Nothobranchius furzeri: one gene and its partner. The protein of the gene in region 1 interacts with the protein of each later gene in a biochemical or structural test. Links are inferred from orthologs where the notes say so. Each region holds a gene or a part of one and is shown in the gene's direction. Other genes may lie near its edges.

Region 1 (4,341 bases):
AATTCTGTATAATTAATGAGCATCAGACCCACGTGACCACAGAGCTAGCTCCGTGGAAAGGCCTCAGTAGAGCCTCGGTCTGGCTTGGAAACTGCTCCGGGATTTTGAGTCTCTGTGTTTGTGTATTTTTTTTCGGATATTTTTTGTGCAATTGTTGGACAAAATGACTTGCTGTGGCATTAATTGCACTAATAGAGCATCCAAGGAGTCTCCACTTCATTTTTTTCGGTAAGTAAAATTATATTCATGTATTTTAGGTCACTGCCGAGCTGAGCTTAGATTTTAACATGTACTGTTTAACCATGAAATTTAAATGTAATAGGGTAAACCCCAGTGCATTTAACATAATGCTGGACTTTAGAAAATGGGTTGAAATATAACATGTTGGTGGAGCTGGGTTCCGACTATCGGCTTGTGGAGCTCTCGGGAGACCTGTTTTCCACCCGGTTCTCCCCTCCCCGCAGCTCGGCGCATCTCTGTCTGATCGCGGCTCCTGACTGCTATGCGGGCTGCCGGCTTGTGGAGCTCTGGGATGGAAACCTTTCCACCCGGTTCTCCCCAGTGGCAGCTCTGTGCATCTCAGATCGCAGCAGCGCTTGTCTGCTGTGCGGCTGCCGGCTTGTGGAGCTCTCGGGAGACCTCTGTGTTCCACCCGGTTTTACCCAGCGGTCAGCCCGGCGTATCTCTGACTCAGAAGCTCTGGTGTTGTGCACAGTTAACTCCGGTTGTAGCTAGGTTGCTACCTCTGTTAGCTTAGCTCCCACCTCCGCGTTAGCTTTGGGTTAACTTGTAGCTAGTTAGACCGGGTGTCGTCAGTAGATCCCAGCCTTACAGCCCCACCCTCAGCGCCACCTCTCTTCCCTTTTGTGGAATTGTCTGGGCTTGACGGAACCTGTGACACAGTCAAAATGGTGGTGGTGGCCACCTCCCATTTATCTTCAAAAACGTGTTATTGGAGCATATGGAAACCCAATGTCCAATATTTATATGTCGATGGAAATAGCCAATCGTAGTAGAGCCCTTCTTGCTAATCAGAGGCGAGAAAGGAGCCATCTTCTTTGACATCCTATGATATCACATGACACGCCCTGGACACATACATGTTTGACAGCTATCCTAGTAACAATCTAATATATAAATTACAGTTAGAGGCTTATTGGTTTCAAACAGATGTCGGATACAGCTAGTTACATCAAAACGGTGTCATGCCTCCTGCAGCTTAAACTCAGCGGCAATAATATGTCTTGCTGTTTTTGCTCATTATTAAACACTTCCGCCTGGTCAATGGACTCTAACATGTGTGAAACAATAGGGGAAGATCCGGTTGATTTATCAAGAACCAAAAAACGTAAACATTTTGAATAATATCAAACTAATGCCCTAAACATGCTTAAAAATCGTTTTATTGTTATAAAATGTGTTTTTGTGTAAAACCATGAATGCAAAGAAGAAATTACAAACGCAGAACGGAAACTGCTTTACCTATAGACTGCCGTAGTGGTACAGTCCACAACACCCGGGTTTCCGCGCGAAAAGACGGCCTGCGCGCGCTCGAACTGCTTGTAGCATCCGCTTGAAGAAGCGCCACTCGACTGGTAGTCATCTCTGAGTATTGCTGCGGCGATTGACGGCGGCCTAACGCGTTGTTTTATATCAGTTTTTATTGCCCGTGTCATCTGCTTCTGCTTTTAGTTAGCTGGTCAACATGCCATCCAGAACGTCCCTGTCTCTGCCAGACGATGTCAGGAAAAGGTTGGTAACCTCGGTGCTAATACAGTCATAATGCAGCCAGTTAGTAAGTCACAACAACGGCGTTCAGAGCGTATGTCTTAAATGCTACTCGTTGTTTCTCATGCTCGTAGTGAGCATCCCCACAACTTTGTTTGCATTAGCCGCTTCAGCTAGCGTTAGCTTGCTGCCTCTTATCAGTCTGGTTAATAGTCCATCGTCAGTAACCTGCTACTAGCATCATTAGCCTGGAAATGGATGAGCAGCGAGGGAGTTTTTGGCGCCACGTAGGAAGTTTTGTTTCCTAACTCTGGTTGCTGTGCTGAACGTTCTGCTACAGTTTCCAGACAACGTGACTCTCCGTAAGCCGCTGTTGTTTTGATGTGTTTGTAGGTTGGAGCTGCTGGATGAGGATGGATGCTCAGAAGAGGCGAGTGAAGTGTGCACCCTCACTACTAGAAAACCCGATCAATAATTACGGGAAATGAAAGTTGCTTTGTATGTGTAAAGATCAATAACTACACTTTATATAGTGGCTCTTAAAGAATGCATCTCTCGTTGGTTTTATTTTAGTTGTGAGATATGAAATGTGTTTGATAGCAAATATAAATAGCAGAGCTTCCAAAAATGTTCATCACTCCCCAAAATGTCATTTGGCACGCATAAAATTCTCATTTCAAATATGACAAAAACGAATCCCTAGGAAATTTTGCCATTGACAAAGAAGATTAAGAAAGTTACTGTCTCACATTTTAATTCACCGACATGTCCTAAATGGTTAATTTTTAATGTCATGAATGCAGATAGTTTCAAAAAATTGTAACTTATAATTTTATAGTTAAATACATTGGCTGTAAGTTTTATGTTGGAAATATTCGTTTCAGGAACAAGTGAAGAAGAAGATCAAGTTGGTGCAGGACTTTCTGCATGATGATGCTCAGGACCAACTGACCAGTCTTGAAGAAAAAATAAAAAAATCAGAGATCTCAAAGGTGGGTAACTTCCAAAAGACACAGATTATTAATGTTCATGTTATTTCCAATAAATCCATTTATGACATGTTGTGTATCTGTTGTACTTTCCTCAGGAGGTTTACATCTCAAAGGTGAAAGCCTTGCTGGGCAAAGAACTTCATCTTGAGAATGGCTCACATGTTGATGGCGTGGAGCGTAACGAAAAGAGAAATGGCCTCTCTAATGGCTCCCATAAAGACGAAGAGGATGGAGATGGTGATGTTTCCATGGATACCCAGGAAGAAGACACGTCATCATCTGTCAAGTCACCAACCACCTCCAAAGGGAAGGGGGGCCGCAGGAGCAAGGGGAGCGCAGACACAAAAAGTCAGTCTGCGACTCGTTTAGTGTTCATCCCGAGTCTCGTTTTTAAAGGCGCAGCATCTGTAGCTCATGGCGAGTCCTTTTGCATTTGTAGAATCACCAGCCAGCAGCAGAGTCACGAGGAACAGTGTGAAGCAGCCAACCATCTTGTCCATGTTTTCTAAAGTGTACGTATGAGTTTTATGCTGTTTGCAGTTTTAACAAATAAGCAGGAATAAAATTAAGACCAGCTCTGTTTTGCAGCCAAAAGCGCAAGTCTGATGAGGTGAACGGAGAACCTGTCAATGAAACAAGTGAACCTAAAAAAGAAGAGGCCGTTGATGAGGTGACATTTCCTCCTCGTGTGCTAATATCGGTGTAGGTTTAGTCCCGGAGATAACGTTTTACATTTGATCGCCTGTTGCAGTCTCGGGAGGAGAAACGCCTGAAAGTGGAGTCGGATGAAAAGTAGGTCATCTCTTGAGTTTCGATGGTCCTGAAGTGGATCTACGTTTTACAACTCTTCCTTTTTTACGCAGACCTGCTGCTGAGGAACCAAAGCCTGAAGTTAACAGGTCTGCGTCAGCAGCTAAGGTAGTGAAGTGGTTCATTCAAACGTTTACGCAGACAAAGGTGATCCGTCAATAGGCTTTGATACAAAGCCCGGTTGTTTTTTTTTAGACTCCGCCCCCCAAATGTCCAGACTGCAGACAATACCTGGATGACTCCGATCTGAAATTCTTCCAAGGAGATCCTGATAATGCGGTCAGTCTTGCTTTCTTAGTAATTTAAGCACTGAGAAGTCGTCGTCTTGACCGGTTTTTTCTGTATCTTCAGCTGGAAGAGCCTGAAATGTTGACGGATGAGCGTTTGTCCCTGTTTGACGCAAACGAGGATGGGTTTGAAAGCTACGATGATCTGCCGCAGCACAAGATCACAAGTTTCAGGTGAGCTTCTCTGTGGGGATTCAGGTGGCTCTTCTTGTTGCTTCTGGTGCCACCGTTACCCCCAAATTCCACTACCTCCGCTCCGACACGAACGCCGCAGCAAAATCGGTCCCGTTGTAGTCAATCAGAGCAATTCCACTACTGCGGCTGTGCTCCTGCAGTGCGGCGCCGTGCGCCGCCCTCTGTTCTGGCGTCCGGCAAAAATAGAATCGATCCTATTTTCGCCGGACGCCGGAGCACCTCCGCAGTAAATGGACAGAAATCACAATCGTCCAACAGGAAAAGGAGCAAGCACACTTTCCGTTTTTCACAATAAATCGATAAACAAAAAGCGTTTCTTGTTTCAAATG
Region 2 (3,650 bases), on another chromosome or scaffold:
CCGGGAACGCCTTGGGGTCCTGCCGGAGGAACTGGTGGACAAGGCCGGGGAGAGGACGGCCTGGAGCTCCCTAGTTGGGATGCTGCCCCCGCGACCCGGACCCGGATAAGCGGAGGAAGACGAGACGAGAGACGATGTTAAATAATAGTTAACATCACTTAAATGCAACAGCAGATTCTCTCATTGCTACTGAACATTTTCTCCACTTATGTGGTTATGATATAAGGCTGTTGCTGTAATTGGGAAGTGAACTGTGCTGGGCCAAACTAGGAGAATATTAAGATTTTCTGAGGGAAAGAGAAAAACAATTGTCTACCATTCAGAAGAGGAACTGGCAAAAAACTACATGGAAAATATGTGAAAACGTTTGTTTTTAACCCCAAATTGAACAAGTTTACCAAGATCTTAAAAAGCAGCTCAGATGATGAAACTGCAGCTATGATTCTGATAACAAGCTAACAAATTGAACTAGCTCCTCTTAAGATAACCGGCTAGCAGAGCTTCTGACTGACAGTTTATGTGCAGCAGCAAATCAACTATCCTGATTAACAAGGTTATAAAAGCTCATAAATGAAAAATCACTTTGATGTGTGGGGGAACTTTTCCAGGCCCTCTTTAGCAGGGTGGGACTGGAAGGAGAGTGCTGTAGCCTTTTAGCTGGAAGCTAACCGGAGCCTGGGGCTAACATCACCACCCGGTGGAACACTAGCAACATTAAGGTGGGTTAGTTCACCGGCACGTGTCGGAGTCAACCCGGTAAAAATGATTAACGACACCGAGCGGACTCACGTTCACGTCTGAAAGCAGCGCTGATTCCAGAAACCTCAGCACAAAGTGTGTTCGTTAATCTGGGCCAGCATGACGAACAAGGGAACGGCGCCGCTAATGTTCGGGTATTGCTTTCCATCCTAAGGGTCCACATAGGGGGCTGGCGTATTTCGTGAACGGACCCATCTGATTGGCCGCATATCAGAAGGGCTACGTTTGATTGGCCAAATAATACTTCCGCATAAAAACAGAGCTGGTTTACAAAAAGTTAATGTATGACACGGATGGAAATGTTTGAACCAAACATTTATCGCCGTTTTTGGCGTGCCTTGCGATGGGCCTATCGCACGTCTTGTTATGCCGATGACGATAATTTTTCGATATATTGTGCAGCCCTACTTTTGACCCTTTGCACGTGACGTCACGCCACTCATGTGACCGCCCCCTTCGCCATGATGGACGGCAAAAAGACCGTTTATACCAGTAGAAACTCCAGTGAAAGTAGTCAAAACAAGCCAGTTTGTAGCCTTTTATATCTTTTATTTAGTTGATTTGACATTAAAACAGTTTTAGCTTGCTGCGTGGTCGGCTGCACTAACAGACAAGGATGTAAACTCAACTCGTTTTGTTTTTTTAATAACTTTGATGGAGACTGAGGACGGAGATGAACTGCAGTGATCAATCAAGCGGACTAGCAGGCCTCAGATTAGCAGCGAACATGTTTTTACCGGGTAAGATTAACGTTCATTTATTTCACAAGGAAGACAGGGACAGGGATAAATGTGATGTGTTTATACTAGTTATTGATAATCCTGATGGACGGGTATTTCACCACGGAGGCTGCGCTCCGTCCACTGTAGTGTAAAGCGAGACAATTATTAACAATATTAAAGCTCTGATGTAAGATCACGTGTGTTAAAATTACGTTATTTATTTATATGAGCGTCAGCATTAAGAGATCTTCTCATTCCGGTGTGAGAGCAGCAGCTGAAGCCGGTAACACCACCAGCAACAGAAGCTGGTAGGGATCCAGACTTTCTAACAATCAGCTTTGGTGTAAAGTGAAACGCTGTTTGTAACATAAAGTTATAAATCCAGAGGGGTGAATTTAGGCAAAGTCAGCAACATGTTTACATCGGTGAACAGCTGCAGAGAGAACGTAAGCTAACGCTGGTAAGTTAGTTAGCATACCGCTCTCTATGAGCCCCCGCTAGATGCGCTACTTCTTCTGATAACTGAACTGGGCATGAACTAGTGGAAGGAATGCTGGAGGAGTTTTGTTTTGGTTTTGATCGCAAAAACAATTTCAGGCTCTACTTTTCCCTTTGTTTAGTAATCGTGTCGCTCACTGTTTACATGCTTTTGCCGTCCACCGTGGTGGACCCACGTGATTAGGTGACGTCGGTGCAAAGGGTCAATAGGTGGTTTTCTGTGTGGCTGTATGTGTTTATGATTTCATGGAAAAGTCAGCGATTGTTCACATGTTTATGATGTATATTAATGATTGTTGTAGGTGTTGTTGGGGTTTTGTGCACGCATGTGTATCTGCTAGTGTTGAAGGTGTTTTAGAGAACAATAGGTACGCATGACCACTTCCTTCATAGCACCCTCAATAAAAAGACTAGCTCCTTCATAGCACCTGCAGAAAAACATTTCTGGAGCCGCCACTGCTCTGTAGCCGCTCTGTCAGCGCACGCATTGGGCTCGGCTCCACCCACACCCCACCCACACCCCTGGTGGCACTCGCTGCTACCGCCATAACACTTTCAAAACTTGGATGTGTAAAATAAATGACACAACAGATTCTGGGTCAGTCAGGAGCACTGCGACAAAACAGCAGCTTGAACGTGATTGCGTTGTATGAAATGATCATTGGAGATTTCAAACTGGTAAAAGTGTGGATGTGTGATGGCCTGGGGCCTATCTGGGTGTAGTCCAGTACCTTGTTTAACATCTTCAATTCAAACCACTGTAATCGTGTGTGTGTGTGTGTGTGTGTGTGTGTGTGTGTGTGTGTGTGTGTGTGTGTGTGTGTGTGTGTGTGTGTGTGTGTGTGTGTGTGTGTGTGTGTGTGTGTGTGTGTGTGTGTGTGTGTGTGTGTGTGTGTGTGTGTGTGTGTGTGTGTGTGTGTGTGTAGGCCCACTAGATGAAGATGGTCAGCCCCATGGTTTCTGCACTGTTACCTTCTCATCCGGTGATCATTTTGAAGGACACTTCACTCATGGAGAGAAGAATGGAAAGGGCAAGTTCTTCTTCTTTGATGGAAGGTAATGTTTAATGACTTTGATTTATAAAGTAGAACTTGACGAGATAATGCAAGCAACCGTAACTCATTTGCTGCCAACCATTTCCTGATCGGTAAAGCCTTTTTTAAGAGTCACAGAACATTGCGTACTAGGATGATGTCGATGACAAAACACCCAAAACAAAGCGTAGACTCACCTCTTACATCAGGAAGAATCCGTTTTGAGCGTTATCCGTTCTTTCATAATCCGTTGTTGAATAGTGATCGGCAGAAGCTTTTCCGGTTTGCGCCTCACTTTTTTTTTTACAGCAGTGGCTCAAAACAATCTCCTAACACATGGATTTTCTGCTTCCTGATCATGTGACATGTGATGTACGCAGACGAAGATCTGCTTTAGAGCTGGGATGTTTGTTCTCACGGTGCGGGGCCTCGTTCCAACGCCCACACAGTAAAAAAATGCAAATGACGACTTTTGTTGTCAATGGCAGTGAATGAGTTAAACAAACCCCGGCGTTAGCACCTTTTGGAGACAGAGAAACTGGCGCAGCCAGTCAGATGGTAAAGTGGTGATTATCTTTTTAGGCCACATTTACAGACGTAGAAATGAGTGCAAGTCAGTTTTGTTGTACACCTGTGC

What was found.
Region 2: of the proteins of dnmt1 (region 1) and setd7, one has a biochemical effect on the other in vitro, tested with the Homo sapiens proteins (2 studies listed by BioGRID and IntAct, with this or other methods). The link is inferred for Nothobranchius furzeri from reciprocal best matches to the Homo sapiens genes DNMT1 and SETD7.

What each region holds. Positions count from the first base shown.
Region 1 is NC_091745.1:3,328,775-3,333,115, reverse strand, and holds the start of dnmt1 (DNA (cytosine-5)-methyltransferase 1), read left to right. Parts: upstream 1-1,527; 5' UTR 1,528-1,705; coding exon 1,706-1,752; intron 1,753-2,121; coding exon 2,122-2,158; intron 2,159-2,612; coding exon 2,613-2,720; intron 2,721-2,815; coding exon 2,816-3,068; intron 3,069-3,159; coding exon 3,160-3,232; intron 3,233-3,308; coding exon 3,309-3,390; intron 3,391-3,471; coding exon 3,472-3,512; intron 3,513-3,583; coding exon 3,584-3,638; intron 3,639-3,725; coding exon 3,726-3,809; intron 3,810-3,881; coding exon 3,882-3,991; intron 3,992-4,341. UniProt on the Homo sapiens protein: Methylates CpG residues. Preferentially methylates hemimethylated DNA. Associates with DNA replication sites in S phase maintaining the methylation pattern in the newly synthesized strand, that is essential for epigenetic inheritance.
Region 2 is NC_091741.1:109,529,604-109,533,253, reverse strand, and holds part of setd7 (histone-lysine N-methyltransferase SETD7), read left to right. Parts: intron 1-2,905; coding exon 2,906-3,035; intron 3,036-3,650. UniProt on the Homo sapiens protein: Histone methyltransferase that specifically monomethylates 'Lys-4' of histone H3. H3 'Lys-4' methylation represents a specific tag for epigenetic transcriptional activation.